2 linked regions of the Rattus norvegicus genome follow. The protein of the gene in region 1 interacts with the protein of each later gene in a biochemical or structural test. Links are inferred from orthologs where the notes say so. Each region holds a gene or a part of one and is shown on either strand. Other genes may lie near its edges. The genes, in order: Loxl1 and Fbln5.

Region 1 (4,266 bases):
TGTGCTATTACAAGTCCCCACGTCTCTGGCTAGATTATAGATATCCAGTGTCCCGAAACACATAAATGAAGTATCAGTCCCGGAAAACAGTGCAGTGGGTCAATAAACGCTTCCTGGTAAGAATGGAGGGCAGAGGAGTCCTTGTTCCCAAAGAGTATCATTCTGGCTGTTTTCCTCCTTAAATGGGGTCTAGGAGTTGTCCAGCATGAAGACAGGTACTTCCTGTCTGGTTTAAGGGGTAATCTTTGCCCTCCAACTCCCAAGGCCACAGCAGAAGACAGCCTGGGGGGTCTGTAGAGCCGTGTTTAGAATGTAACTTTTCAGGTACCAAGTAAAAGTTGAAACTTCTGGGACCTTTCTTATTATCCCTGTCATCCCCAGAGGGAACAGAGAATCAGCCAGAACAAATGGAGCTCTGTGGAATAATCTCCCAATGATCAAACGTGTCTACTAAATCAGAGTTGGAAGGAGCGTAAGATTCCCAAGTTCCCCCTCTTGGACGCTGCTTTATGTTAAAGGTTCCCCTTGCCTATCCCATATCCACCTGCTGGCTTCATCTTATCCGCGTGTCTACTCAGATCCCTTCTGACTATCAACTCAGGAAGCCCAGGACAGAAGCCACTGGGGGTGACTGATGTCCGCATCTACCATGAGCTCCCAAGTCCTGTTCAGCCCAGAGACATACCCACTCCAGTTAGTCTCCATGCCTGTAGGCTGAGACCTGGTAGAAGAGCTGAGGGCTCACTGTCTTTGTACTCAGGACCAAATGCTAAATGTCCTCGGGATGCACAATTACAAGGTGGCCCCAGCTAGAGGTGGGCTCAGGGAGGCTCATCAACAAAGATGCCTCTTGCTTTGCAGAAGCCGGAAGGCACCCCAAGAGCCCTAGGAAGAGGTGAAGTCAATGAAGAAAATAGAATTTAAAAAAAAAAACTATCCAGGGCTGAGTGGAACCAGCAGGGTAGTGCCCACATCTTAATCCTGCTGTGCTTGCCAGAAACCCCACTTACCAGGCCTGAGTCCCCAGGGGCCCCCTCCAACTCCCTGCCTCATTCCCTTCCTCCTAAGCAGGTCTGTGGCTTGGCTGGAAGCTACTAGGACTGAGGGAGCATTGCTCTGTGGGACAGGCCACATAGCTAAAACCCGGCGGGCCATAGGGCCCCGCGGAGGAGGCCCCAGCAGGCGGACCAGGTTTCTGAAACCTCCAGACACTTCCAGCCTGTTGCTTATTCATTCAGAGTGGGAAAGCGCCAGCCTAGAGAGCAGCCAGCCAGTGTGGGGTTGGCCATGTAAGGGCCCCAGGAGGTCCTGCCCGTCCCGTGCCCTGCGGAAAGCCTCGTGCAGCCCTGGGCACCGCCCCTGCCCTGCCCTGACCCCTTGGCCTCAAAATGCTGTCATCGGAGGAGCCGTCCCGCTCGGGACAAGGCCAGGATGGACAAAGCTAGAGCTTGGGCAGGCGAGGAGCCATCCTGTCCTCGAGGCCGTGGGAAGAGAAGCACGCACCGGGGCCCACTCCTGAGAGCCTCTCCGCCCACCCGGCCTCTGCAGAAGGGCCACTATGGCTCTGGCCGGAGCCGGCAGCCAGCTGGGGACCCTGGTGTGGGGAGCCTGCCTGTGCGTCCTGGTGCACGGGCAGCAAGAGCAGCCAGGACAGGGCTCGGACCCAGGACGCTGGCGGCAGCTGATCCAGTGGGAGAACAACGGGCAGGTGTACAGCTTGCTCAATTCGGGCTCTGAGTACGTGCCTGCGGGGCCCCAAAGAGGGGAGAGTAGCTCCAGGGTGCTACTGGCAGGCGCGCCCCAAACGTCGCAGCGGCGCAGTCAGGGAGGACCCCGGCGTCGGCAGGCGCCGAACCTGCCCCTGCCCGGACGCGTGGGTTCGGACACTGTGCGCGGCCAAACGCGGCACCCGTTCGGCTTCGGCCAGGTGCCAGACAACTGGAGAGAGGTGGCCGTCGGGGACAGTAACGGGATGGCTCGGGCCCGCACCTCCGTCTCCCAGCAACGGCACGGGGGCTCCGCCTCCTCCTCGGTTTCGGCCTCGGCCTTCGCCACCACTTATCGCCAGCCATCCTCCTACCCGCAGCAGTTCCCCTATCCGCAGGCGCCCTTCGTGAACCAATATGAGAACTATGACCCCGCGTCGCGGACCTATGAACAGGGCTACGTGTACTACCGCGGTGCGGGCGGAGGCATGGGCGCAGGGGCGGCGGCGGCAGCTGTAGCCTCGGCTGGGGTCATCTATCCCTTCCAGCCCCGGGCACGCTACGAGGAGTACGGCGGTGGGGGCGAGGAACAGCCCGAGTACCCGGCGCAGGGCTTCTACCCAGCCCCAGAGAGGCCCTATGCGCCCCAGCCCCAGCCTCAGCCCCAACCTCAGCCGCAGCCTCAGCCCCAACCTTCCGACGGCCTTGACCGTCGTTACTCGCATAGCCTGTACAATGAAGGCACCCCGGGATTCGAGCAGGCCTACCCTGATCCCAGCACCGACGTGTCGCAGATCCCCGCCGGGGCCGGTGGCACCTACGGTGCCGCTGGCGATCCCCGTCTCGGCTGGTACCCGCCCTATGCAGCCAATGTGCCTCCCGAGGCCTATGTCCCTCCGCGTGCGGTGGAGCCGCAGCCCCCATTCCGCGTGCTGGAACCACCTTACTTGCCTGTGCGAAACTCTGATGCGCCCTCCCAGGGTGGGGAGAGGAACGGTGCCCAGCAGGGCCGTCTCAGCGTGGGTAGTGTGTACCGACCTAACCAGAATGGTCGCGGTGAGTACAATCCACGAGCGCTTTGGTTCGACATTCTGGACACTGGTGAATTGCTGCCTCAGGGGTACAGACCCCGTGTTTCTTACCAAAGGCCTCCCAGTAGTTGCTGAGCAAAGACTCTTTAGCTGACAGCCCCAGTGTGCCTCTCTCTTCCTGAATCCACCCATTCTCCATCAGGGTCAAAGGCCTACCCGGTAGGCCTGTGTTTTGACTCTGGCTTGGGGGAAATCGTGGAAGGACTAGCCAAGTTATAAGAAGTACTTTGCGGATCTGGCGGAGGTCATCCAGGGACAAGTGGGGAAAGTCTTTCTCCCCTGCTTCTCCTTCTTCCAGTCAGGGAATCTCTTTAACACTCTTAGAAACCCCCCTATGCCTGTGCATAGAATGAGGCAAGGATCATGGGAACCTTGAACCTTCAGGGTGAAGAGGCCTTAAGGATGATGCTTTTTGAGGTGCAGCAGCAGTGTCCCCCGTACTTGGACCTCTGTGAGCTAGCTAGCCGCTGGTGAGGTAAGTAGGCAGTCAGAGAGCAGCACTTGAACAGACAAAAGTTTCAGACCCCTGAGGGGATCCCGCAAGGCTGGGATGCCAAGGCCCACTAGCCAGGGCATAAAATTCAACTGAGCACTAAAAAAAAACAAAAAAACAAAAACAAAAAAAACCTGGATAATGAAGATAAGTTCTATTTCAGTGCATTAAAAATCTCTTATGAACAAATATGTCCACATTTTAAACAGACTCGGTAATGTTTCCATAACCCGAAGCAAACTGAAAAATCAATACGGGCCGTTTCTTTATTTGAAACGGGATATTTGTTCATTGCAGATTTTTTTAATTGATTTTGTTTTTAAACACACCGCGTTAAATATTACTGCTCTTGGGCACTGCACTTCATGATGTTCTGTAAAACATAACCCAGGCCAGTGTACCTCACTTTAGTCTTGGCTCTGAGGGGAGAGACCCAGGAAATGTCTGGAGACAGGCCACCCTCTGGCTTTCCCCAGGGATGAAGATAGGACCTATTCTAGGGAAGGCCATGTCATCTGCACACAAGGGTCAGGGTGGAGCGCTCTTCCTCTGCCAGATGGGCAGCTTCCACATGTGCTGTTATTGTGACAGGGGCCAACTGTTGCGTCTGGCCAGTGCTGGGTGGCCATCGGCCCATCCTCAGCTGTCCTAGAATCCCCTTGCTGATGCTGTCCATCCAGAGCTGTCTGCTCTCTGGTCAAGCTTTCCACTGAGTTCTCAATGCACACACAGCACACCCCGGGGCAGCACTCACTGTCCACAATCCCTTCTCCATACCAGGGTTGCTACCACCAGGGCTGTCGGGTGAAATTGAGCCTTTGGGACCCAAAGGTGCTGGTGTCCCGCCCAGCCTTGGCTGCTCAGCCTCTGTCAGCACTGAATAATGATTTCTCCAGCCAAGATGGCCTATCTGAAGGGCTGCTGTATGGGGGTTCCTGGTGCTGAAGACCAGGGGAAGGAGAGAGAGTCTGATGGG
Region 2 (4,337 bases), on another chromosome or scaffold:
AATCAGATTCCCTGGAACTGAAGTTACCAGCAGTTTTGAGCCACCTTGTGAGTAAAGTGGTCTATGTGACTATCACAATTCTACTGTCAGAACTATAAACTATATTGGAAAGCCTTCAAAATCAGTGTATTAGGAGCCTCTGGCATTTCGAAACGTATTACAGCACAACATCATGGAGTCCGAGTCTGTGTGCCTTGTCGAAGCACCTTGGTCAGAACTCAGCTCCCGCCAGTCCTGCCTTTGAACCTTACGTAGACAGAGCTGGCCCGTGTGCACACTTAGGTGTCTAGCTATTTTGAATGGTTACTCTCATTCATTTCTCCACCTGAATCTCTTTATTTCGCCCCCTTAGGGCAGTACTGGTGAACCTTAAAGATTCTTATAATCCTACTTATTAGAACAACGGGAGGGATGTACCATCTCCTGAATGAGATGAACCTAAATATAGTTTAGTCTTAGACATTTCATACACCCATAGGAAATAGATCGGGTCAATTGGATTCCGAGCTTCAACAGCATCAACGTCTGGCTGGCTGCTCTTGTCCAGTCTAATGAGATTTTAGAGTAGGAGTCCATTTCCTCAAAACAGTGTCGTTAGAAAAGAGTACATAAAGATGCAGACTTCAGAGGCTTGACGGCATCTCTGAGAGACGTGAGCCAGTGGGGAAGTCACTCAACCCCTTTTATTCTCACCTCCAAGGAAGTGGAGCTAGTTTCTAGTGCACAGAGGCATGGTAAGGGAGGGAAACTCTTCCCCTGTGCTCTCTAAACTGTAGGTCAGGCAGTTGAGGGTCCAAGAGAAGGTTCAGGCAAGGGAGGGCTTGCAGTGTAGTAGCCCCGTCCTGTCTTTTGGAGAGCAGTGTCTTTGGCATTTTTGCACTCGATAGGGGGTTCCAGAGCTAGAAAACAAAGGGGAGGGAGGACTTCCAGAGTCCTTGTGTAACCCACCATTCTTAGGCTTTCTCGCCTTTAACTTTTTACAAACCGCCTTTCTACACACAGCAACTAAAAGCCAAGGAGGACGAGGTGAAGGCAGCCAGAGATCTCAGCCATCGCTTGCTCTCCTTCAATCTCCCTGTTCTTCCCGGATCCTCCCTTACCCCACATCCTTGCTTAGGTATCGCGCTTGTTCCAACCCTGGCTTTAAGCCTCGGGTTCCCAACTGCTCACATCCCTGAAGCCGCTTTGGTGGTGAGTTCAAGTTCCTGCTGCCACAGGGCCTGATGACACGCCCCCTCGCACGCGCCCCGCTCCGCCCCGGGGAGGCCCGGCGCCCCTCAGCCCCGCTCTCCCTCTGCTGGGCTCCCCTCCCAGCACCGAGCACTTGGCCCTGGCAGACGCCCCAAGATTGTTGTGAGGAGTCTAGCCAGTTGGTGAGCGCTGTAATCTGAACCAGCTGTGTCCAGACCGAGGCCCCATTTGCATTGTTTAACATACTTAGAAAATGAAGTGTTCATTTTTAACATTCCTCCTCCAATTGGCTTAATGCTGAATTACTGAAGGGGGTTAAGCGAAACCAGGTGCCGGCGGCGAGGGCTCTGCAGTGGCTCCCAGCACCCGGCACTGTCCCCGGCCCTCCGCGCAGCCCCGTTCGGCCCCTCGGAAACCAAGCTGCCCGGTCCCGCGCAGAGCCTGCCTTCCTCAAATCACCTCTCCTCCCGCGCATCTTGGATATGCCAGGATTAAAAAGGTAGGTTGGAAGGCGCCAGGAACTGTCTCCAGGCTTGAGAAACCTAACTCCAGACCTGATGGGTGGAAAATGGCTATGGCTGAGATTCCGCCTGTGTCAGGGCACTGGAAAAGACTTTTAGCAAGTGATGCAATGACCCTGTTAATTACAAAAAGCTGCGCTCATCTCGAAGTCTTGGTTTGGGAGTGGGGATTTTTCTAACAGCATCAGGAGTCAGCATCTCGAGAGAGGCAGCAGACAGCCTCTTTGGATCATTTCTCTTTCTTTTTGGAAAGGGCAGCAACGCTGTGCGCAGTTATTAAAATATCACACTACATATTTTTTAAATTTGGGAGACTGTTGACTACGGCACCAGCAACTGCTTTGCTGCGACGGCTGTGGGACAAGCAGAAGGAGTCTCCGAACACTCCTGTCTGCGTTTGCTCTATGTGTGCGATTTACAGAGGGAATGGGACCTAGAAGTTTCGAGCCAACGAACAGTGGACACTGCAGACAGAGACGCATGTAAGCAAATGTTTTGCTGTTCTTTGCGGAAATTGCAATTCCAGTCAAGTAATCCTTGAGCCTTGAGGAAGTTTAAAGATGACATCTGTCCTCCCCTTCTCCAGTGCCTCTTGAAAATAGAGCTGCCCTGCACAGACCTACACACTTTCTCTGTGTGTGCTTGCATGTGGGAGGGGTGCATGCATGCTAACACGCATACGAACTGAGCCATATTATGGTAAGACATAGTTAACATTATCATCCCGAATCGCCGACCAGCAATGTCTGTCATTGACAGGCACTTGGAGGCTCTGTCCTCTTCCTCCTCCTCCTCCTCTTCCCCCTCCTCCTCTTCCCCCTCCTCCTCCTCCTCCTCCTCCTCTCCCTCCTCTTCTTCTTTTGGATGGTGAACCCAGATTCAAAAGAAAAGTTTGAGACAGAGTTTCTCCTCTCCAGTATTAATTTTGCTTCATTTTTGGTACGATTTTTTTTCTGCAAAGCCTCTCTATTAGCCTGGAGATTATTTGGCCCCCGCTCTTCCAGGAGGCTGGGCTTGGGGCTGGCCAGCCCTGGGCTGGCTTTCACCAAAAGGAACAGAGAGTGGGGTAGGGGAGAAGCCGGTAGGGTTAGCACGCCTTTTCCAGTCTCTCTTGAGCTGTACTGCATGCAGTCAAGCTGCTCTGTCTCCAACATAAACGAGACAGGATTTTATAACCACCTGAAAGGAAACTTCATGAGAAGAAACAGGAAAACATTGAAATTCATAATCTACAGCCTGGAAAATGAATTTGTTATTGTTCTCTTATTCCTTCCAGATATAAAGTCTGGCTCTCACAAATATCCGAAAAGCCCAGGGATTTGGCTCTGTACTTTATAAGGTCAGAGCTGTCTCCAACGTTGGAGAACCTGGCTCACTCACACAGGCGGTTAAATGAAATGAAAACCTGTCTACCCAGGATTGGATCTGGGACTCCGTGAGGGAAGTGGGTTTGCGTCTTCCAGGACCACATCGGACTCAGTTTTGTCTGGGTGCCTAGGTGCTGCCTTCACTCCGCGTCTTCTACGTACCTACTGCTATTTCTCCGCTCGCTGCGGGTTGGGATGTCAGTGAGCTTGGGGTCTACTGAGCACTCGTTCTGCAAAGGTGGGGGCTGTAGAGCCATGGCGCTGGGTGGGTAAATAGTAAGCCTCCGGTTCACAGCCGTGCTGAGAAACATGCAAGATCACCACCCTCCAGGAAGCTTCCTCTGCTGACTCTTGACATTCTTATCAAAGCAAAACTGTACTCCTGGCCCATGGCACAAAGCAGCGAGCTCAGGTGAATGGCAGCTGGACCACAGCTCTGTGGCTCTCCTGCCCAGTATCTGTGTTGTAAGCTGTAGTTGCAAGATGAACAGTGTGCTAACAGACTTGACCGTCTGCAGAGACTTCACATTGTCTCTATCTTTCCTGCATTAAGTGCCCATGTTGATAGTGTTCCATAGGCTCCCTTGGCTATATGCCCAGGTTCCATGCATGACTCTTTAACCTGCAAAATAGCTCTTGTACCATACTCTGTGTTGTGTGGTGCACACCTGTAACCCCAGCATTTGGGAGGTAAAGGCAGGAGACAATCAGGAGTTCTGAGCCAGATTTGGCTGCATAACCAGTTTGAGGCTAGCCTGGGCTGCATGAGGCCCTGTCTTAAAAAAACAAAACAAAACGAAAAACAAAAAAGAGGCCAGCAGAAGTGTCTTGTAATCCCAATACCCAGGGAGCCGAGGTACAATTGCCCCAAGTTTGAGGATACTGGACCATATTGATGGTTGTAGGTTAGCCTGGGCTACAGAGTGAGAGCTTGTTTCAAAAAAAAAAAAAAAAAAAGGCACAAGCCCCAAGCCACAAAAGAAAACAACTTAAAGAAATCCTTTACCTATTAAACACCCCCTCCCTGCCCCAGAAGCTCACAACCTGGAGCCACCATTTTTCTTTCTGAGTCTGAAAGTTCTGGGGTACCTGATGTAAGTTGAATTCTATGTGTTTGTGACCGTCACTCTTCTCACTATGACGTCCTCATGGATCATCAGTGTTGCTGCTCCTGTTTTTTGTTTTGTTTTGTTTTAATTACATTTATTTATTTACTTGAGGGGAAGCATGTGTTGCTGTGCACGTGTGGTGGTCAGAG

What was found.
Region 2: the proteins of Loxl1 (region 1) and Fbln5 form a complex in vitro, tested with the Homo sapiens proteins (2 studies listed by BioGRID and IntAct). The link is inferred for Rattus norvegicus from reciprocal best matches to the Homo sapiens genes LOXL1 and FBLN5.

The regions. Positions count from the first base shown.
Region 1 is NC_086026.1:67,609,195-67,613,460, reverse strand, and holds the start of Loxl1 (lysyl oxidase homolog 1 precursor), read left to right. Parts: upstream 1-1,236; 5' UTR 1,237-1,558; coding exon 1,559-2,762; intron 2,763-4,266. UniProt on the Homo sapiens protein: Catalyzes the oxidative deamination of lysine and hydroxylysine residues in collagen and elastin, resulting in the formation of covalent cross-linkages, and the stabilization of collagen and elastin fibers.
Region 2 is NC_086024.1:126,739,818-126,744,154, reverse strand, and holds the start of Fbln5 (fibulin-5 precursor), read left to right. Parts: upstream 1-1,448; 5' UTR 1,449-1,673; coding exon 1,674-1,690; exon of another isoform or gene 1,691-2,138; coding exon of another isoform or gene 2,139-2,194; intron 2,195-4,337. UniProt on the Homo sapiens protein: Essential for elastic fiber formation, is involved in the assembly of continuous elastin (ELN) polymer and promotes the interaction of microfibrils and ELN. Stabilizes and organizes elastic fibers in the skin, lung and vasculature.